4 linked regions of the Nothobranchius furzeri genome follow. The protein of the gene in region 1 interacts with the protein of each later gene in a pairwise test. Links are inferred from orthologs where the notes say so. Each region holds a gene or a part of one and is shown in the gene's direction. Other genes may lie near its edges.

What was found. The genes of interacting proteins can lie anywhere in the genome.
Region 2: the proteins of transcription elongation factor A N-terminal and central domain-containing protein (region 1) and ssna1 interact in binary tests that used the Homo sapiens proteins (3 or more experiments, as listed by UniProt). The two-hybrid records come from large-scale screens. The link is inferred for Nothobranchius furzeri from reciprocal best matches to the Homo sapiens genes TCEANC and SSNA1.
Region 3: the proteins of transcription elongation factor A N-terminal and central domain-containing protein (region 1) and tarbp2 interact in binary tests that used the Homo sapiens proteins (3 or more experiments, as listed by UniProt). The two-hybrid records come from large-scale screens. The link is inferred for Nothobranchius furzeri from reciprocal best matches to the Homo sapiens genes TCEANC and TARBP2.
Region 4: the proteins of transcription elongation factor A N-terminal and central domain-containing protein (region 1) and csrnp1b interact in binary tests that used the Homo sapiens proteins (3 or more experiments, as listed by UniProt). The two-hybrid records come from large-scale screens. The link is inferred for Nothobranchius furzeri from reciprocal best matches to the Homo sapiens genes TCEANC and CSRNP1.

What each region holds. Positions count from the first base shown.
Region 1 is NC_091754.1:47,119,197-47,124,061, reverse strand, and holds transcription elongation factor A N-terminal and central domain-containing protein, read left to right. Parts: upstream 1-2,122; 5' UTR 2,123-2,210; intron 2,211-2,275; 5' UTR 2,276-2,338; coding exon 2,339-3,253; 3' UTR 3,254-3,431; downstream 3,432-4,865.
Region 2 is NC_091746.1:74,033,615-74,039,607, reverse strand, and holds ssna1 (microtubule nucleation factor SSNA1), read left to right. Parts: upstream 1-2,349; 5' UTR 2,350-2,484; coding exon 2,485-2,536; intron 2,537-3,100; coding exon 3,101-3,300; intron 3,301-4,636; coding exon 4,637-4,729; 3' UTR 4,730-4,874; downstream 4,875-5,993. UniProt on the Homo sapiens protein: Microtubule-binding protein which stabilizes dynamic microtubules by slowing growth and shrinkage at both plus and minus ends and serves as a sensor of microtubule damage, protecting microtubules from the microtubule-severing enzyme SPAST.
Region 3 is NC_091743.1:62,019,008-62,024,868, forward strand, and holds tarbp2 (RISC-loading complex subunit tarbp2), read left to right. Parts: upstream 1-2,217; 5' UTR 2,218-2,360; coding exon 2,361-2,413; intron 2,414-3,196; coding exon 3,197-3,511; intron 3,512-3,672; coding exon 3,673-3,742; intron 3,743-3,852; coding exon 3,853-3,970; intron 3,971-4,086; coding exon 4,087-4,214; intron 4,215-4,377; coding exon 4,378-4,573; intron 4,574-4,667; coding exon 4,668-4,825; 3' UTR 4,826-5,043; downstream 5,044-5,861. UniProt on the Homo sapiens protein: Required for formation of the RNA induced silencing complex (RISC). Component of the RISC loading complex (RLC), also known as the micro-RNA (miRNA) loading complex (miRLC), which is composed of DICER1, AGO2 and TARBP2.
Region 4 is NC_091747.1:49,828,536-49,834,537, reverse strand, and holds the start of csrnp1b (cysteine/serine-rich nuclear protein 1b), read left to right. Parts: upstream 1-2,358; 5' UTR 2,359-2,587; intron 2,588-6,002. UniProt on the Homo sapiens protein: Binds to the consensus sequence 5'-AGAGTG-3' and has transcriptional activator activity. May have a tumor-suppressor function. May play a role in apoptosis.

The sequences.
Region 1 (4,865 bases):
AATGTCATTGTTTTTTTCTCAATCACCTCTTCATGCTCTTCTTGTGCACGGCACTTTCGGAACCTCATACTATGATACATGTGCCCTGGTTGGGACATGCCAACCTGTCATGACTGAAGTAGATCTCTTTAACAAGAGGCATCCCCCAGGGCGCGCGCGCGTGCGTGTGCGTGTGTGTGTGTGTGTGTGTGTGTGTTCAGGCGAACATGCCATCATGTTTGTGGCGTGGTCTGCTGGAGCAAGGCGGGGACTACAGACCCCACTTCCTCATAGTCTTTGTCAGAAGCAGCCGAAGCAGCACAGAATCAAGAGCGCCCCCTACTGGGGAGTGGTGCTCCTGCATGCTGGTAAAATTCCACTCTCACTGATGAGGAAGGAAACCTCAAGTGCAGACGGGCAGAGAAATGACTTGATAAGGTCCTTCTGCGTGTTTTTGGGAATTCCAGGCGTGTGTGGCCGGACTGCTCTGAAGACTCGGAGTTGTCCCTAACCACAAAGAGCTCAAGAAGTCTAAAATAGCACATTTCCTGTCCCAAATGAAAGATAACTCCTCTGGCCGACACACTTCCCCCTTTTTCTGGAAACTTGAGACATTAAAGCTGTTAAAAGCTTCTTGGAAGCTCCAGCCTCCTTTAAGGCTGCTGTTTAAGAGCCTGAAGCTTTTATCGCTTTTCCCTCATACCGCTGATGCTTCTGCTGGCACCAGATACATGAATGTTGAAAAAAAAACATTCCAAATAAAGTTTAAGATGGTGATGTCACGCTGACAGTTATGTTACCCCCAGAGCTGTAGAGCTTTGTTTATACGTTTGTGCATTTCTGTTGTTGCATATTTAAACTTACCATAAACCCCAGTTTCATGCTGAGTTGCCTCACTTTACACATCTTTTATTTGTTTTACCTTTGTGTGAGAAACAAAATGATTTAGAGAAGCTAGAGACACCAGTCATGGCTGTGAGGTACAGGAGACCATTGGACTGTTTCCGGGCCAGGCTGGGGCCGACCGGTGCTACCCGGCCCGGGCCGACCCGGTACAGATGGGAATGGCCCATAAGACAAGTTAGCTACAGCTAATTAACAGTTAGCATGAAGCTAGCATTCATTGAGGCGGTTGTTTAGTGTTCCAGCCAGTTTGAAGGCAGTCTCTGAGAAGAAGTTAAAGACAGGTTACTGAAAGGCCTCAAATCAGAGAAATTAGTTTCATTCTACCGGACTGACAATTGCTAACAGCTAGTGCAAGGGAAGTGGTTCATGCAGCATCATTTCATGAATACAGTTTAATGCTCACTTGGAAAACTTCACGTGCAAAATGTGGCACTTCTGGCGAATCTAAGAGTCAAGTTCAATTGGAATATCGTAACATTCCCAAAGTTATTCCAGTTTTATGGAATGTTAAACATTTCACCAAACTGAGCCTTTTCAGAAAGCTATCTACTGTTAGTACAAACATTATTAATCACAACTTTGTTTATAGAGACACTGTTAAAAACGCAGAGTTTGCTACACAATCCCAATGTAGGAGCAACATCAGTTGTGCTCTCTTATCCAGTGAGCCCATGTCTCTCTGGGCGATGCAGCAGCTTTTCTAAAGCGGCTCACTCTGAGGATAACAACTAGCTGCCCCTTCTGCAGTTTGACGTACAACAAAATCTCTGGTCTTAACTTTAAAACCACAAACATGCCTTCATAACCTATGATTGCTCCGGAGCTGAGGAGCCTGCCCCGTCTTGTTACCAGATACCCTCCTGGATTCTTGTCTGGAGGCTGCTTGGCCTGTTTCTGCATGCAGAGTCCAAACATGCTGCATTCACCTAGAAATGATGAAGTTGGTCTCAATCCCAAGGATTAGTGTGTTTTAATCATTAAATATGTGTTTACACCTTCAGGAATTGTAGTCTAAAGAAAGGGTTTGTGCTTGCTGTGGGAATAAACGCCCCTAGAAGCCAAATGCACACGTCTGAATCCTTTTACAAAAGCTATAATCCTGCAGCACATCTACTGTGGTGAACTTACAAATCAAACATTACAAACTTTATTCCCCATAAATGCAGAAAGACTTTCAGCTGAACCTTCAGAGTGAGTGAGTCAGCAGCTCCATCTAGTGGTGCATGTAGTTAGTTTCATAGATGAAAGACAAAAACAATATGGCTGCTCCCTTGTTTGAGGTTCTCAGTTAGCAGGAAGAAGCTGAAACTCATGAAGAAGCTCAGGTAAATCAGTCTAAACCCATTTATTCTGTATTTAAGCGTGTTGCTGACATCTCTATCTACGTTAGGACATCAAACATAACAGACATGCATCCTGCCAAGGTCTAAAATAGATAACATTCTCTGCAGCCATGATGGACACAAAGGAAATCGTCCACCTTGCTGTCCAGATGGAGAAGCTGGCTGCAGACCGAAGCTTCGTGGACATCCAGACCCTCCTTGGTGACCTGGATAAGTCTCACATCACAGCAGAGCAGCTGGAAACAACAGAACTGGTCAAAGTCCTCTATGGAATCTTGAAGACCTGCTCAGACACCAATGTGAGGAAGGGGGTTAAGAGCTTGTTGTCCAGGTGGAGGAAACAGTACAGCTGTGAGAGGACAGGAGGGACACACTCAGATGAGAGAAAAGATCCTGCAGGTTCTTCAGCCCAAGTGGATGGAGATGGTGGAGTACGTGCTCCAGAACAGCAGGCAGACCGTCCCCTCCAGGGTACTTCTGCTTTGTCGGACTCTGTGAGGACCAAATGCGTTCACCTTCTCTTAGCTGCCCTCCATCCTGAACCTCCTGATCAGATCAAGGCGGAGCAGCTGGCTGAAGACATTGAAAAGCACATCCATGACCTCCACAAAACCAGCAGACTCAAATACAAAACCTGTGTGAGGAGCAAAGTCGCAAACCTGAGGAATCCCAAAAGTCCTCACCTGTGCCAGGGCCTACTGAGTGGCTCTCTGCTGCCGCAGGACTTTGCCAAGATGTCTGTGGAGGACATGGCCAGTCCAGAGCTCCGGCAGCTGAGAGAGGAGTTTTCATCACAAGGTGTGAGTGAGAGACAGCTTCCTCAAGGGGTGGAGGGGACGCCGACGCAGAAGATCCACTGCAAACGGTGTGGAGGATCAGACTGTAGGGTGACACAGGTGTCCAGGGGTGCTCTGTTTCTACCTGCATGGGTGAGGCAGGGAGGCATTGACCAGGACGCTATGACATTTGTGACCTGTAGGGGGTGTGGTCAGCAGTGGTACCACAGTGGCTGGGTTTGCTTCTAAATCAGGTGATGGTGGCAGAGGAGTTAATTTTTCATCCCCAAAACCAGAGGGTTGCAGATTTGCATCCCCGTTATTCTGACGCAGTCGTTGTGACAAGACACTTCATCCTCCTTACCTACTGGTTGTGGTGAGAGGGACTGGTAATGCCAGTGTGTCCCAGGGCAGCTCCATCCTTCCATCCTCCATAAACAAGACCCTTAAACCTCTAGAGTAGGGATTCCCAAAGTGTGGTGCGCGCACCCCCGGGGGTGCTAGGGGGTGCGCGAGGTGAAAAGTGTAATGGCTGCAGAGCTCAGAGAAGTCTGTCATATGTCACCATACATATATATATATATATATATATATATATATATATATATATATATATATATATATATAGCCATGCCCTGATGTGGGGGCTGGGGGGGTGCGTCGACATGGTCGGGACATAGAAGGGGGTGCGCGGCTAAATAAGTTTGGGAACCACTGCTCTAGAGGAACAGATGGTCCCAGCCTCACGAAGAACTTTCAACCTTTATTCTAAATACCAAACCGGCTTTTAAACAGTTTTATTTGTTTTCTGGATTAAATAAATGTGTAAGTCAAGTATTTAGTTTAGCTTCCCTTAAAGAGGGACTGCACACCATCAGAAAATGTAACTCCACCCTTAGTCAAGATTTGAAACATGCCATGAAAGTGGGCGTTGCCAGGAGGCACAGAGTGGCATGGCCAAGTGCGGGGAATTTCCATCGCGGGAGGGAGGAGGAGTAGGAGGAGACTGTACTGATGACGTGGAATTGTACCAGCCCCAGTCAATCATAAATTTAAAATGCAGTAGCCACAGTTCAACCCACAGGGGGCAGCCCTAAGATGTTTCTAGATCTAGATTTAATCAAGTTTACACAAACATGTCAAAAAATGCACAGAAACAGAAATATTACATTTGTAAAGACCCAATTATACAGTTTATAAACAAAAAAAAAAAACGTTGTTTTGGGGGTTATTTACTCTTTAAAGCCCAGCCATGTTTTTGATTTACCTCTGAAGAGCTGAGGCACTGCTTTTAGTTGTAAAGTGAAACCAGAAGTTATTTAACTGCAGCCCCACTCATCAGATTCTCTGAATCATTTCCTGTCTCGCTCTTCAGAGATTTTACATTTGCAGCTGTTTATTTAAACGCCATTAGTGGCTTCCACCATCTTCCTGCTGCACTTATAAGTGAGTCATTGAGAGCTTGGATATCGGGTGAAACCCCAAAAAAGTGACAGCAAATATCTCATTCATTTGTTGCCAGTGGCGGTTTTACCATTAGGCATAGGTCGGCAGCCGCCTGGGGCCCCCTTCTGTTGGGGGCCCCCCTAGCCCTGACTGCTGGCACCCCCTCTGTTAATGCCACAATGGACTATTCCTATTGCACAAACAGGAAGTGATTGGTAGTCATTCCACTCCAATCCAGTTGGTGGCAGTAATGCACCAAATTCTTGTTTGCCAAGTGCCATAAGACCACAAAAAAGAAGAAGAGAGGCGGGAGCTTTCATAACAAACTCGAAGCAGTAGTCAAAACTAAGGATGAAATGGAGTTATCCTAGTGGCTCCAATAAGAGAAAGAAGCAGCTTGCTTTAAAAAAGCAAT
Region 2 (5,993 bases), on another chromosome or scaffold:
TTCTGATTAAATAAACCAGTGGTCCGCAAGATGGATTTCATACTAGATATGAAATTTTAATGTCTTGTGGTCCTTTATTAAATGTAAATTAAGAATGTTACACACCTCTCAAGATAAAAATCACAGGGGCTTCACAAGAACAAAATAAAAAATATTAAAAATAACAAGATTGAAAAATGATTTTTAAACATCACACAACTGGGAGAAGTAAAAAAAATGTGATTAAAAAAATGTGAAGAAAGGGAAAGTGAATAAGAAATAGATCATGAGTGGAACGCTAGGAAAGGCAGAATAGGTAGGATCAGAATAAGGAGAGAGTGGTGAAGGTCACACCAAAGCATGAACAGGTTAGCCTGGCAAGCCAGACTAAATAAATGTATTATTTAGTCTGGCCACGCTCCATTGACGGCTCTCGGTTGTGGGGCGGGTTCTACCGTTGTCTTTCAAATGATCTCCGCATGCTACTGGACAATGAATGTGACATACTCTTGTTTCACTCTGTTGCATCGTCCCACCCACCAGGCATATAGAGTGCCCTGATTGGCCCACAAATCGGATAAAGCTCTGTGATTTGTTCACTAAGCAGATAGAGCACTATGATTGGCCCACCATTATGGACCAATCACAGCTCTTAATATGTTTGAAACTCCTCTAGAGAGCTGTGATTGGCTAGCCAGAGTCCTGGTAGGAGCTGCTGAGGTTCCAATGGAGCATGCCTAGACCATTCTTTGCAATGCAAGAATTTGGTCTAGTTCACTAGGCTATGAACAGGTGAGTATTCAGCTGCTTTTTAAAGGAGACCACTGAGTCTACTGGTCTCAGTTCCAGAGTCTGGGGGCCACAGCAGCAGATGATCTGTCACCTTTGACCTTTAGCCTGGTGCTGCACAACCTGTAGGGTTTGGTCACTGGACCTCAGGGACCTGCTTGGGGTGTAGGGACTAAGAAGATCACCAATGTAAGATGGTGCTTGTCCATGTAAGGCCCTATAGACCAGAACCAGGATCTTGAAATGAACCCTGAAGTTAAGCGGCAGGCAGGCTACCATAGTTTGTACCTTCCTGTTACCCTGGCTAGCCATCCTATATATGTGGATATGTCGGTTGACCATGACCCATAGACAGAGCTCAGTCGTGGGGTGAAAGCTATTGTTGCCTTTCAAACTGCCTCTGCATTCTACTGGACAACAAACAAAGTGACTCTCACTGCTACGGATGTCAGTCAACAAGGTAGTCCACCATACTCTGTCGAAGAAGACACACATATGTCTTTTTTCTAAATGAAGGACTTAAGTACCTCTGTCTGTTCTTGACTCAAAGAAGAAGCCATCTAAATAGTCCAAAGTTGAGGCCAAAACCATTTCAAATGATCTGCCTCTGTCTTAGCTTTTCTGCTCTATCGCAATAACATCCCACCCACCAAACTGATAGAGCGCTGTGATTGGTCAGGCCTGCTAAGGCTCCAGTACAGTGTGGCTAGACCAACCTGCAGAGCAAAATAATTTTGCTTCTGCTACTGTCTGTCTAGATTTCTATGCCTCCTTCCTGCTGCATCAAACATTTGTTTTTCTTATTCATTTATCTGTAACTAGTTAACTGATGCTTAAAAACACAACGACTGTGTTCAGGAGAGATGGCCAGAATTTCAGCCCCACATCACCAGTGTACACAGTCTGGATCCAAAAGTATGGCATGGTGTCACCTGCTCCTGGGGAATCCTGGATTCAATTTTTAATCATGATGATCTATCTTTATTTACATTTATACTTCTGCTTTACCATTTATGTTTGTATTTTTCTGCCGTATCCTCATCCGTGGTACTATTATCTTTTTCAGCGTTCATAAAACTTGACTAAATCCAGCAGCTGATTTTTCCAGACCAGGAAACTAGAAAAGAAATGACGCATCAGATCCAAAACATTAGTTATTGTTGTTGGTGTGTGTGTGTGTGTGTGTGTGTGTGTGTGTGTGTGTGTGTGTGTGTGTGTGTGTGTGTGTGTGTGTGTGTGTGTGTGTGTGTGTTGTACCTACAGGTATTTAGAAATCATTTTATACAAACAAGGCTTAATTCATTTCAATGGAACTTTCACAATACAATAAAGAAATGTAAGTTTTGTGGCCAGCAGGATTTTCTGTGTGTCTGTTTGTCCTCAGCGACCAAAGTCTGGACATCAGAGACCTAGAAAAATTAATTATCTGCATTTACTCATTAATTTATTGAACTATTCACGTTTTTTATCACCAAAGGAAATACAGTGGGCTTTGTTTTTGTTTTGTGGAGCTCGCACTTCACGTTTCATCCACCAGATGGCGGAAGTGAGTCAACCCCGCTGTTTAGCTCCAACGAAGAAGAGCTCTCAGGGGGTGGGAAGCCCGCCGTTGCCTGATGAATTAAAACGTTTCGCTGAACGGAGACACATTTCCCTCTTTTAACCTTTTTCTCTCAAGATTTATTGAGTTCGCTTCAGTCGACCACTTTTACCAGGATGACTCAGCAAGGCGCCGCTCTCCAGGCCTACAACAACGAACTTGTCAAGTGTAAGTGACTCGTTTGAAGGATTAAATACTTTATTTCTTGATTTAAACTCATAAAATGTTCGGAAAATAGATAAAGTTGCTTCAGCTCTAGAATTTAATTACATTTTAACCAAACGCCACATTTAAATGTATGTAAAAAGTATCTAAATTTAACACTATGTGTGTAATTTAGTGTTTTAATCTGGTTTGTTGTTTTTTACATGTCTGCTTTAATCTGGACCACCATCAGATTAACCCACATGAAAGCTGAGCTTTATTAAAGCCATATGATTAAAAAATACTGCTTATAGCTGCGTTTCTTTAATATCCTCATTTAACCCTAAAACAACTAAAAATAGCAGCATAGCGGAACTAATGTGCTTTAAACGTTCCTACCCGGTGGTTAATCCGTGCGGCCTTCCTGCGGCAGTTTTTTAAACTTTCTGACTGGTTTACACAGTTTTCTTGTTCTGGGGAGCCATCAGAAATGTTAGATTGATGTTTTAGTTGAATAAAGTAAAGCTAAGCTCGTGTTTTTGGATCAGAGCCACTTCAGGTGTAATAAAGCTTTCATTTTCCTGTCAGGTATCGAGGAGCTGTGCTCAAAGCAAGAGGAACTAAACCGACAGATCCGTCAAGAGGAAGATGAGAAGGAACGTCTGGAGCACGACATCCGTGTTCTGTCTGAGAAACTGAGCCGGGTCAACGAGAGCCTGGCACGAAGACTCTCAGCGCGTACGACACTGGACCGCACCATCGCTGAGACAGAAGCTGCCTACGCCAAGGTGTGTCCTGGTTCCGTCTACATCAGGGCTCTCCGGCTCTGCTCCCATAGGACTCTGATCCAAGATGTTTCAGTTGTTTTCGTGCTCCACCACACCTGATTCCATGGTTTACTCACCTGTTCGGCAGCTCATGAGGCCCTACAGAAGCCTCCTGATTAAAACCTGATGTGTTGAAGCAGAGAAACAAATCAAATCGGCTGTACGGTGGCCCTGGAGGACCACGGCTGGACATTATTAACCTGAACCTGATGAGGTTTTGTAAAAGTTTTTGTTAAAAATGAGAGGAGCGTAGCTTTGATTTACCAGAATAATTCCAAATCCCAACAAGTCAACGAGCTTAATAGTGTAGAAGGGAGATAAATTCAACTGTTTCGTCACGATTACCAGGATAAAACGTGTTGTCATGGCAACGTGGGGTTAAAACAAGGCTAGCCCCATCGAGCGATGATTCCACGTGACTTAGAGGAACATTTCAGACATTTGTTTCGTTGTCTTACTGTAGATGGCCTTCTGCCAGGCTGCTGTTCGGAGGGATAGACGAGCTAACGGCTAGTCTGAGACAAATTCACAGGGTGCAAGCTGTCTTAAAGCAGTCACGTCAGTTCCCGTGGTGTTCTGTTTTACCCTTTAAGTGCCAAATTCCTCTGATAATATTCCAGGAAATTTATCCTCTCGTGCAGGAGTGGGCAACTCCCTTCCCAGATGGCTGGTACCCAGCCTGTTTTTGTTGTTTCCCTGCTCCGACACACTCGAGTCACCTGCTCAGCAACTCATCAGGCTCTGCAGAAGCCTCTTAATCACCTACTGAATAAAGTCTGGTGTGTTGAAGCAGGGAGCTGATTAAAACATGCTGGATACCGGCCCTCGGAAAAAGGAGTTTGTCCCCTCGCTCTTGTTTAAGGTTTTATAAAATAATGCCACATGAACCGCTCTGGAAGTTTAGAGCAGGTCTAAGAAGAAAGAGTTTTTATGTGGATAAAATCACAAGAAAATCAGGAAAATGACTCAAAAAGGTAAGTGAAGTAAACGCGAGAGTCCGAAAGATGCAGATTTAGTAGAAACACCAGCCTGAACATCGTCTAGATCCTTGGGTCTGGTGTTTAATCCCGTAACCGTGTTTTAGCGTCTGTCAGATAAATCAGGCGGATCAGACCAGATTAGGCCACCGCTGAAGGTTCGTCGTGTTTCTGTGTTGTTGCTGAACTCCGCCTTAAACGAGTGAAAACACACTCCTGCTCTGCTCTAATTATAAAACAACAAGGACACCCGCAGCCCTTCTCTCCTCCTCATCTCAGCGTGAACGTGTTTTACTGTTGATTTTTTATCCTTTTTACAGATTTTAGAAAGTTCCCAATCACTTCTGAGCGTTCTGAAGCAGGAAGCAGGAAACCTCAGCAAGGTCACGGAGCCTCAGAGGAGGGATCATTAACGGCGAGGCGACGTCGGCAACCACAGAAAGACGTTTTTGCACATTTAAGGACTCTTTTGTACCGCTTCTAATGTTTTTTTCTTTCTCCAACATAATAAATGTATTTAACTCTCGTTTGGTGACAGAATAATAAATAAGTCGCTGACTCGTTTGTTCAGGTTGTCGGTTTATTCAGCTTTTCTTTGTACAAGTATGACATCATCTTTTTAATTTGCCCCAGTTACTGACAGTTTACAGGTAAGCACATCAGCTGATGGAGATCTACAGACATGGGGGAGGGGGGGGGGGGGGGGAACGATGGATGAGGTGGAGTTTCTACCACAGAGTCCAACATAAACACAGAAGGTCCAGGTTCTGGTTCTGCTGAAGTTCTTGCTGGTGTCAGAAAAAACAATCAGTGGATTTTTGTGATTGGGGGGGGGGGGGTTTACATGACCACGAGCGAGTCACCACAGCAGGTCCAGATAACACCACAGCTACTAAAACCTTCACATCGCTGCTGATAAATCAGACACTTCAAGTAACGATTGATTTTCATTCTGATCATCGATAAGGCCGAACGTTTCATCGCGCTGGCAGCAAACGCTCCGCCTTTTTATGACCGAGGCACTGAAGTCCAGATGTTTGAGTCGAACTGGAGCTCAGAGATACTTCCTGCTGGGTCTTCATGTCAGAAATGTGTCTGCTTGACTTTTAAAGGCAGAACGATCATAAAAGCAGATAAAGACTCAGCATTATTAATCAAAACCACCTTAATTCATTACGTTTGGCTGCTGGAAGGAAAATATGAAGAAACGAGGGATGATTAAAAACTGCTTGATCCGTAAATAAAAGCAAGTGATGCAAAACTAATGAAAAGAAAAGATTTCCTATTTCTGGAAAAGTGTCGAATAAAAATGTTTTTCTCTCTTCTAAAACAAAAAGAAAAGTTCTATATAAATAAATGACTTATGTGTAATTTCTTGTAACTTTTTTTACTGAAATTTAACAGAAACATTAAAAAGTGATTAAGTGATCAAACATTTCCCCTAGATTTACAGAGAACACCCATAGCTATGTGGGCTGAACGGTTAACGTCTCACCTGCTGTACATAACACTCTGAATGGCCTCAGCTGGGAGAAACAGATTCGTTCTGATGGCATGGACGAGCACCGACACGGCCAAGTCTCTTAAATAAACAGTTTATTCTAAAAATGTTCACAGCAGTTTAGACAGTTGCTGTTGTGCTACAGAAATTCTGCCAGATTAAGGATGATCCCGCCA
Region 3 (5,861 bases), on another chromosome or scaffold:
CAGTTTATGACACCTTTCATTTAATTTGATTTTTTATTAGGATTTTTATCCAAAATTAAGGGATTTTTTTTCAATAGATCCTAGCTAAATAATCAACACACCCAAACCCATTTCCTAATTGTGTTACTAAGCCACACCAATGAGACACAGCCGTTTATAAACACTTTCATACAATCTCATCTTTTTTATTAGGATTTTTATCCATAATTAAGGGATTTTTTCAATAGCTCCTAGGTAAATGAGTCAAAATAACCAAAATCATTTCTCAATTGTGTTACTAAGCCACACCAATGAGACACGGCAATTTTTAACAACTTTCATACAATTTGATTTTTTTATTAGGATTTTTATCCAAAATTAAGGGATTTCTTTTTTCAATAGATCCTAGCTAAATAGTCAACACACCCAAACCCATTTCGTAATTGTGTTACTAAGCCACACCAATGAGACACAGCCATTTATAAACACTTTCATACAATCTCATCTTTTTTATTAGGATTTTTATCCATAATTAAGGGATTTTTCCAGTAGCTAGGTAAATTTGTCAAAATACCCAAAACAATTTCTCAGTGTTGTTACTAAGCTAGATCAATGAGACACAGCAGTTGTTAACACCTTTCATGCGATCTGATCATTTTATTAGGATTTTTATAAAAAAAATTAAGGTTTTTTTCAATAGCTCCTAGGTAAATTAGTCAAAATAACCTAAATCATTTCCCAATTGTGTTACTAAACCACACCAATGAGACACAGCAGTTTATTTATTGTAGAATACATTTAGACCACATACATTACTATAATGTATTATAGCAATTAGGGATGAGCATTTTTGACGAATACGAGCATGAAACGAGTAAAACACGTAAATATCCGTAATCGTGCTGAAGGAAAATCCTCATTGGGTAACTGACTGTCTTCACGCTCTGTGATTGGCCAGTCACATAGAGCGCCCGCCCCTCCCTACACAGAAAACTGCAGCCGGCCGGGAGCGCAGTCCGTCCGGCTCATCCGCGCACACACACAGACAGTAACGGATCTCGCTGTGATTGCTTCAATGTTGCTCACGTTTCTTCAGTAATCCCTAGGTTTTCTTCAGCTCGCCTCTTTTTCGGTTGAATATTTAAAGTTACTTTTTTCGTAACTTACTTGGTGCATTTGATAAGACAGAGCTGACGTGCTGTGTTAGTCACTACCTCCGCTCCCAGGGTCAGATTAACACTTAGTTGTACCCTGGGCAACAATATTAAAGGTCCCCATCATCACGACCCAAGGATCACCATAATATGGTCACATACAGAATATTTTACTGTAATATGCAGTAAATATACTCAATACTTGAATGCCTGACATCATGTAACCCGCTCAGGGTAACCTTTGACCCACCTCGTGTGGAATGACCAATGAGGAGAGGGTCTAAACTTGAGGCCCTCTCTTCATTGGTCAGTCTGAATGAGACTGACTCTCAACTGGCGTTCAAAGTCATAGGCAGCGAAGCATCTCTGTGCAGCGCAAAAGCCCGGGTGGACAGTTTGTTTAATGTAGGGTGATCATATTTCCATTTCCAAACAAGAGGACAGGGGATCTGTGCCTATGACGTCACACTATGGCAACGCCACACAAACCACGTTGGGACCCATTTTTTTGTAAGAACTAAATTAATATCAGATTCTGCCAATAAAACGGCTCTAAAACAATTCATATGTAAATATTTAGCATATTTCTTGCAAAATCTCATTTTTCTGCTTTAGTGCTGCAACAAGGTTTTATTAATAAGAAATCATTATACCTTTTGTATAACCTAACCTAAACATGCACTCAAATATTTCATACAAAATATCTGACCTCTTATCAGCTGACATTTCTTTAATTGATAACAATGCTGACATGGAGTCTGAGCAAATAATACTTTTCCTAACACCATTTTGTTCTATCCACTGTAAACTAAATGAAATGGCTAACATTTCCACTGTATAAACTGACAGATTATTAGATGTTCGACTTTTATAATATATACTTAATGTCGGAATCCAGAAAGAAAATCCCGTTATATTTCCTGACACTTTCGACCCATCAGTATATTTAGGGATGAATGCTTGATGAGTGTCATTCCCACCTTCTGAGGCACAGAAGGCATTTGGGCCAATCGGGGCTTACGCTGCCCAGGACGCAATCTACGTCATAATCGTGTGACCGAGGTTGTCGCTGTAGAGGTGGTTTCGTCTTCTGGTATCCATCATGTTGCAGCTTTAGCTCATCGTTTTGGGACAACAATAAATACCGTCTAATGAGAGTACGTGTCTGTTGTGGCGGGGGGGATTTTACATCCGAAACCGAGCGGTTCTGTCTGCGCGAAACGGGGAATGAACGACGAGACAGCTTCGGATAGCTGGAAGAGAAACTCCGGGGACTCCAGGTGGGATTGTCTTCTTGATAAAAGCCATTTGTATGTAAACAATATAAAATGTCAGAGTCAAAGGCCTCAGAAACTAACGCGTGCATGTTGTTTTAAGTGTTTAATCTTCTGTTATTCTTTTAATCTCTACAGCTTAACTGTTTGACTCATCGTTAATACTCTTTATCTGGTGGCTTTTTACTGCTAGGTTGATTTTTGAGGGATTATTGTAATCTGGAAGGCAACAGGTGGTCAAAAACACTAATATAATGTTTTCCTAAATGTAAAGATCGGCATAAATTACACAAATCTCTTTATTCCATTTGTAATATATGTAATAAAATAAGCTGATTGCAAACATTTCTGGTTCAAATCTTCATTCCAGATGGCTGTAGCTGCCGCCTCACAAATAAATCATTGAATAAAAGTGCCTTCTTTTACTCTGATAATGTAAATAATAGAGTTTTATTGGTTTGTGCCCATTTCCTTTGTACACTGTGAAGAATCTCACCTCAAAACACCACACTTATTATTTGGGTCAGTATTCATTTGGCAAATAATAGTATTTTTTTTCTTGGAAACATATTTCACAGATTGAGCCTTAAAGATGGCACACTTTTCCTATTTCTTGTTGCATTTCGTGAAACTAAAATATAGACAAGTGTAGTTTTTCCACTGAACATTGTAGCGTATGCCCTTTAGATTTTAGCAGCAATAAACTAGCCACATTGTTGTGTTTTGATCTCAGTAAAGATGATAACAAAATAAGTGAACAGCTGCTTATGCTTTCTATCTTTTAAATAGTATTGAGCAAATGCTGGCTGTGAATCCTGGAAAGACGCCCATCAGTCTGCTGCAGGAGTATGGAACGCGGATAGGCAAAACCCCAGTGTACGACCTGCTGAAGGCGGAGGGACAGGCCCACCAGCCCAACTTCACATTCCGCGTCTCCGTCGGAGAGATCAGCTGCACCGGCCAAGGGCCCAGCAAGAAGGCAGCTAAGCACAAAGCAGCTGAGGCTGCTCTGAAGATGCTCAAAGGAAGCCTCGGAGATCCAGCTGGAGTCGCTGTCGGAGAAGACGTGTTTATCGAGGTTGATGTGTCTATTGACGGAGACTGGTCAGGACCCTACTTCATTTTAAAATGTAGAAAAGAACCTAGCGATGCTTAAGTGATGCTTAATGGCTTGTCTTGATTGGATCCAGACGATGTTTCAACATTGAGTTGATGGAAGAGAGAGATTTGTGTGGATTTAGTCTGTCCTCTCATGTTTTATGCAGCTCTCAGTCAGAGATGAAGACTTCCAGCAGTTCTCAACAGTCGGAATGTAACCCCGTTGGGGCGCTGCAGGTAACTACGCCATAGAGACTTTATTTTATCCTGGTAATCCACAACACTGGTTTCTGTTAGAATATTTCTATAGTTTCCTTCCTTTTTTTTTCTGTTTTGATTTACTTCAGGAGTTGGTGGTGCAGAAAGGATGGCGTTTGCCAGAGTACACGGTCACTCAGGAGTCGGGTCCAGCACATCGAAAAGAGTTTACCATGACCTGCAGAGTGGAGAGATTTGTAGAAATTGGTAAATCTTCTCTCATTCTTGTTTGATATCTGCATGTTGTGCTTTCACGCTCAATTGGATTTGTCAAAATCTGCTTTTATGCCAAGTGAAGGAGTGATTTCCTTTTTCCTGTCCAGGAAGTGGCACATCTAAGAAGTTAGCCAAGAGGAATGCAGCCGCTAAGATGCTCTCACGGATCCACGACGTTCCAGTGGACCTGAGGAGCAGCAACGAGGCAGATGCAGAAGAAGATACCTTCAATTTGGTGAGAGCTAAACACCACAGCAGTGATTTATATGCTTGCGCTTAAATTTCTTGTGCAATTCTCAAAATATCACAAACTGTGCCCATGTTATGGTGATGAAGCTTCTCTGCTTGGCTCTACTGTGTCTGTGTAAAACGTGTATAAAATCATCCCATTTACGCAGCACATGGGCAGCAGAGCGGAGTCGGGTAAAAGCAAAAGTTTCAGCTGCACCTGGGATTCTCTGCGTAACTCTGCTGGAGAGAAGATCCTGCAGCTCCGCAGCCACCCTCTGGGAATGCCAGCTGGCTCCAACTTCTGCTCGTTGCTGAGCGACCTGTCCGTGGAGCAGCGCTTTGATGTCAGTTACCTCGACCTCGGTGAGCTCACGCTCAACAGCACAACAGGAGCACCGTAAAGCGGTTAGAAACTCCTCGTTTTTTTTCTTCACATCCATGCTTGTTTGTTTTTCAGAGGAGCGCAGCCTCAGCGGCCGCTGTCAGTGTCTGGTGGAGCTGTCCACACAACCCATCACTGTGTGTCATGGCTTTGCTCCGAACGTAGAAGCTGCTCGAGCCCACGCGGCTCACAATGCACTGCAGTACCTTAAAATCATGGCAGGAGGAAAATGAGACACCTGGGCGCGTTTTTTGTCCGCAGACCCGAACTCGCCACCACGCGATGCCAATGTACACCTCCTTGTTGTACAGTAGAGGCTTTTTGACCTCAGATTGGTTAAGAGACATTTTTATCCTGCCTTGAAGCTAAACACAAGTTTATCTCTAGTTCATTTGTTGTCCAGCTGGTGAAAATCTCACAGCCTAAAACTCAAACCCACTCCCTTGATATTTTGTGTACTTGTGACAGATTGTTTTAGGAAAAAAAATTGTTTTTAGCCCATTTATCCTTCATATAATTAGCTGTTTTCTTACATATGAAGTTTAAAATATATACATGACGTCATAAATGATGCACTTTTGAGTCATATGTCACAAATGATGTTAGTTGAAATTAATAATTTTAAGTATGTTTTAAAATAATCAGCTTGTCTGATTTGAGTTCAAATTAATGGAGAAATTTGACTTTGTCGTTTTTTTCCTCAAATCTTTGTGTTTTATTTTACAACAAAATCAACGTCGGAGCGAATATCCATGAATGAACCATCTTTGACAAATTCTAGTAACTTTTTTTGAGTTTTGTAAAGGTCTTTTCTGTTTTGAAGTACTTGTCATGAAATAAAATATGATCCTTTTTTTAAAATACATTTAGAATACCAAACCCTGATAAGCTTTGTGATCTCAGACCAGGTGAATAAAGCTGTTAGACTCGTGCTGAGTATAATTACCTCAAGACGTTTGTGTTTGTGACGCCTAGAATTTAACCCAGTGTTTGACTTTTATTTTGATAGTTTAAATTTTAGTTTCAGTGTGATGATGTCACCAAATCTACACGTTTAGCCCCAAATTAATAAGAAAATGTCTTGTTATTTGGATCAATTAGTTATTTTAGACTGTGCAGTGATGTTTTCACCCTGTAAATGACAGAGTGAACACTTTTCAGTAAGGAACCAAAAATATTCTTAAAGTACAACCACCTCTGATTATTGTAAAGGAGGAAGTTAAACAATGTTTTTTAACTTTGGGTGCTACATTTTTTGTGCTGCAGTTT
Region 4 (6,002 bases), on another chromosome or scaffold:
ACTAAACAAATGATACAGCATGCTGATTAGGGCTGTGGTTCTCCAGTTAGCGTTTAGTGTGGAAACAGAGCTGCACACTAGCAGTGTTCTAATATTGCAAATATTACACGTACTGCTGGGCTGTCACAGCAAATACATTCCAAAACAAATCAGTAACATTTCAGTCCAAAGAAGTAAAATGTATGGAAGAAAACCAGCTGCTGCTCCTCTCGTTTCAGGTATTTATTGAAAACGCTGCAGATGTTGTGGTGAGAATGAAGAATGAGGAAGGAGGCGCAGAAAGGAGGTCGAAAACTCCTGTTTTATGTGTCACTGACACAGCAGCTGCTTTTTTTTGTTTTTCTTCCTGTAAACATGCAGCCTGAACCGTATTTAATGTTTAAATGTGATTTATGTTCAAAGCATGTTTTATTTCCTTAGAAGGAAGGGACTTAGAAGGGATTCTTTCATTCATTCACTTCACACTTCTGTCTTTTGTTCAGAAAGTCGCTTATTTTTGTCTCTGCTTCATTTGATTTGAAGCAGTTTGATTCAGTTGAATTGAGTTTGATTCAAATACGATCAATTTGAATTCAAGCTGATTTGGTTCAGTTGATTCAAATTCTATTTTGTGCTGTTCAATTGAATCCCTGTCTCAATGGGTTATATTTGATTCATTTTAGTTGAATTTTATTTGAATTGATTCAAATAAATTAAAGTCACCCTGATTTGATTGAATTTAATTTGGTTTCATCCTGTTTCGGTTTGATTTGAATTGGTTCGATTACAAGTTTGATTCAAGTCAGTCAACTGAAATTATTTCACTGTCTCTTCATTTTATAGTTTCGATTCAAAGAGTAATTAAAAGCAATCTGGATCATTTTGAGTCTATTAGATTCAGTTCAATTAAAATTGATTCATTTTGATTCAAATAGTATGATTCAGTTTAACTCAGTTCCATTTCACTTCAGTTACTTTTTTCTTACAACAGAAATCATCTCAGGCAGTATGATGGATGGGGTCAATTCCTCATTTACATCCCAATTCCATTCAGTCCAATTCATTCGGTCTATTTCTACGAATGATACAGAGTTCAGTTCAATCCAGTTCTAATTCACTAGAGATTCAGTAAATTAAAGGTTTGGTTCACTTGTTTAATCAATACATCTGCAGTGGTCTCTAAGGGGGATGAACGCCTTGTAAGTCATTCTCTGGGGGAGAAAAAATAAACATTGGTGTTGCATTTTCAGGAACTAGTAGTGACCCACAGGAGCTGAGCTTCAGGCTGTAGGTTTGAAGTCTTATTTCCTGATATTTGGACATCTTGAACTGGATAACAGCAACGCAACACTACCACTGCTTTGCAATGCTGATATTTTATATGAACAAATAACACAAGTCTGGAGGAATTCTGCTGTGTGGTGAAGTTGCTAATGCTAACAGTTAGCTTCTGCTAGTCTAGATGTTCTCTGATGTTTCCTGGATGCTAAACCAACAACAGCCTTTGCCGTCGTGAGCAACAGTGTGACGTAGATCTGTCAGGATTTTCAAATTTTAGAGTTTTACCGTCTATTTTCTATCAGAAGCGACAGGAGATAGGTGTGGAAGACTATTTTCATGTTCAGCCTGTACAGAAAGCTTACAAAGACCGATTATAATCAGGAATAATCGTCAAAAAATGGGGTTTCAGTGTCCTACACCTTTAAACAATTAGTGAATTGCTGTTAATACTGTTATTATTCAATAAAGTCAGTAATTTACATTCTAAATTTTACAGAGTCACTATAACCAACTGGTTCTTGTTTTTCAGAAAACTCCCAGTTAGTCACATAAAGTAGCCGTCTGACACAGTTATGGTAAAAGATGGCGTTTCCTTTGAAACCAGACACTTTAGTTCCGTTTGAGAGAGAGAGAGAGAGAGAGAGAGAGAGAGAGAGAGAGAGAGAGAGAGAGAGAGAGAGAGAGAGAGAGAGAGAGAGAGAGAGAGAGAAGAAGTGAGTCAGTTCTGTTTAGTCACTGGAAATAAGACACACCAGCAACATCTTTTTTCAAACAATCAGGTTTCTAATAAAATAATATTTATTTATTCATTTGTTTGTTTGTTTCTTCTTATCACATAAAATAAATCATAAAATATTTATCTGTAGTGGATTGGGTTATTGATGTGTGTGTGTGTGTGTGTGTGTGTGTGTGTGTGTGTGTGTGTGTGTGTGTGTGTGTGTGTGTGTGTGTGTGTGTGTGTGTGTGCTCGCGCAGGTAGGTACAGTAAGGCAGGAAGCAGCGTGGGTGAAGCAGCCTCCCTGTGTCACCGCCTGCGTCACACCAGACGCCAGGAGGGAGTTTTCCACTGACGAAAAAGGCTGCGCTTCTCGCTAGTCTGCTACAGACAAGGGAAGCGCTTCAGCTGCTGCGGAGCTCCGTCCAGCTCTCTCTCTCTCTCATACACAGTCACAGACAATAGCACCGAGAGCTGCTGGAGCTCACACACACCAGGATAAACGCTCGTTCTTTTTTATGTTTTGACAAATCTACCCCTCTGGATTAATCCCACGGCTCCACCATCCACCCTGTTGTGATTCCTAATGCTGATCGGATACTTGAACTGGTGGTGAGTATTAATTAAAACCGGGTAGTCGCTGTTGATGAGCTCTAGTTTACATGTTGACCCGAGCCGAAGAGGACAGCAGAGTAGTCTGAGAGTGTTTAATTGTGTTGCTGTCATTTAAACGCGTTAACTTGTGAGAAACCACGCCATGTGTTCATTTAGACGCTTTTTGTGCCGGAGTTCTGACCTCCGCTAGAAGTTGGAGGTTTATTGCGCTGACACGCTTGTTTAAGTGGCTTAAGGTGGTTTATTGTTATTTCACCCAGTAAAAGGGGAGAAACGCGACTTAAATAGTTGTTGCTTCATTCAGAAGTTTCATAACAACCATCGTTTTAGTCATAATAATAATAATAATAATAATAATAATAATTATTATTATTATTATTATTATTATTGTGATTATTGTTATTATTATTATATGATGGGGCTTTTGTGTTGCATTTCATTTTATTTTAGGAAACTTAACGCGCGCAGTGAGGAGATTTGGTTCAAACAACATTCTGTGTTTTAGGAATGATTTCTCTGAACTGTTGATGAGCTCGTGTGTGTGTGTGTGTGTGTGCGCGCGCGCGCGTGTGCTGGAGTTGTTCACCTTACGCGGTGCTGATGCGCCTCTTGTAACTCCTGAAGGAACTACATCTGAGCGCACAGCTGACAGGGCTGCTGTCATTAGGATTAATCATGAGGAATGATCGGGTCAGCTGAGATGGAGGCGTGTGTGTTTGTGTGGGAGAAGGGGAGTGTGAGGAATCAACACGTCCGAATCGGATCCGATCACTGATTTCGTATTGATTATTTATGCCTTTATACACACCTTTGCGCAGGTGGCCAGGTGCGCGCACCAGATGTATTGTTTGATCACACATGTTGGGATTATCATTATTCTTCTAATAAAACCACCGTTTTTTCTCCTAAATCAAAAGTAATTGAAATATATATTTTTGTAGCCTATAATTTAGCTTTTGTGCATGGATGCGTTGTTTTCCCAGGTTTGGATCATTGAAACGTCTCTAGCGCGACCTCACCCGGATAATGTTTGGAATTTCCTGAATCAGGCGCCATGGAGCTGACTGATCCTTTGTTTACTGTGAGGCCACTCAGCACTTCCATGTAATCTGGCATGCATTCCACATATTCATGTATAGCACTCTGTTACCCCCATTTTTAGATTTATCATTTATTATAAGGAAACAAAAGCTCCCTGTAATGCTTGAGGGGAATTTTCCACCAAAACAAACATCTCCCCCCTTAAACAGCCTCATGTCCGTCATGTGATCTTGTCTTCAGTTAACCTTGTGGTGCCTTCAGCTGTCAGACTGATAATCTGGATGGCCACTTCCTGTGCACTGCTGTGTTTTTTGTTTCACAACCTCAGGAAGCTGGTGCACACTTGGTATCTTTCCTCCCAGCTGGGAGAGGAGGCAGCGGTAGCAACAGGAAAAATAAATAAAAGCTGGGTTCAGACGAGGCTGTCTGCTTGATTTCGGTCAGCAGGATGGCCCCCACACTTTTGTGCCTGGCGTAGTGAGAAAGAGGAGGAGGAGGAGGAAGGTGGGGGTAGGAACAGGGAGCCTGCTGATAGTCTTGAACACAGCAGCAAGAGAGCTCCCATCTGGCTTTGTCCTCTCCCAGCATTCCATACAGCAAGTGTCCCAGACTGGAGCACGACCCCTGAACCGGCGACCTCCTCCCTTCCTACACACACACACACACACACACACACACACACACACACACACACACACACACACACACACACACGCACACACACACACACACAGTAATCCTTAGGTTACATTCTCAGGTTAAAAACAAAAACAGCTCGTTACAGAAGTGTTTTTTAAGGTGGAATTCAGGCTTGTACCCAGTCAGGTGCGGCTGCAGGAGAAGGCTCAAATGCCTTAAGGGAGTAAGACTTTCCAGTGGTTAGCAGCAGAAAACACATCTGGATTAGATAGAGCCTGTGTTCTTCTCTCACTGTTACAGCTGGAGCGGCGCTGCCAGAGTGGAATTCCTGCGGCTTGGAGACATGACATTATTTATTTGCTCTGTACGATCCGTTCTTCTCCTTCCCACTACCTCTCTACTTTTTTTTTGGACTCTGCGTGTGCACGGGGCTAAAGAACAGAATGTTTCTGTGGCACAGTCACGGGCGAGCTCTGAAAACAACAGGCTCATAGAGGGGAAAACACGCGCTTTGGCTCCAGCAGGTGGAGCACTCTGGGATGACAGCTGGTGAGGTTTTAAACCCCAGCTGTGCGGGAACAGGAAATTCCGGCCCGACAGCTCTTATCAATTACCTCTTGAGGTGGGAGAATAAAAGACGCACAACACCTCAAAGCCTAAGAGAGGTGTGTGTGAGCTGCCTGGACATGACTGCGCACGTGCAGGACGACTCCCTGGCTCATCATTATCACATGAGCACTCAGTCAGTCGCTCAGACACTGCGAGGTTGCCAGCGTGCCGTGTAAACGCTCTCTGCGGGCCAAGGTTAGCACAACTTGTTGCTCCCGCCCACGCTGTTATCAGCAGCAGAGGAGGCTGGACAGGCAGCACGAAGGGGGCAAAGTCAACTGTGACTTGCTCTGTTGGGCTGCAAAGGGTATGGGGGGGGGGGGGTAGTTTAAACACACACATGCAAGAGGATTTTGATTTTCATCCCTGTGAAATTCCATCACTGCTTTTCTCTTTAATCCCCTGGTGTGTGGTTACCATGGTGACCCTAATGAGCCACAGACACTAGTGTTAACATTTCCTGTTTAGTTTTCATTAGCCTTTATTTGCTCTGATTACCTTGTTAACGGTGGAAGTTGTTTTGTTTTGTTTTGTTTACCTCCTGATTATCGTTTGTCCCGATAATTCCCAGATCCCGTTTCATAAAGACGGCAGGTTCTGTTTCCGAGATAAGGTGCAAGCGACTCCGAAGTGAACAGCCTGTAGCTTCTTATTTCCAGATAATCTTATTCGACTGACACAGTTACGCATCAGACGTTGGAGCGGTGTAGTACTCCTGGTGACAAATCTCCTCGCCGGAGATTTATCTTCCCAACTCCTGCGACAACTGGCTGGGGAGCACCTCAGTGGCTGCCTCCTTTATCTCTCTGTGTGTGTGTGTGTGTGTGTGTGTGTGTGTGTGCACTTGATGGAATGACAATGATGCATAATTTAGTGCACGATGAAAACACGCTGCTCTGCCTCTCTCTGGCTCAGCTGTCCGATCACATCCATTCTCCATTTAAAGGAAGACATTCAAAGACTTCTGAGTCTCCCTTTTATCGCTTCTCCACCCTTTTGCAAATGAGTCATCTCTCTTTCTCTCTCTCTCTCTCTCTCTCTCTCTCTCTCTCTCTCTCTCTCTCTCTCTCTCTCTCTCTCCTCTCTTTCTCTCTCTCTCTCTCCCTCTCTCTCTCTCTCTCTC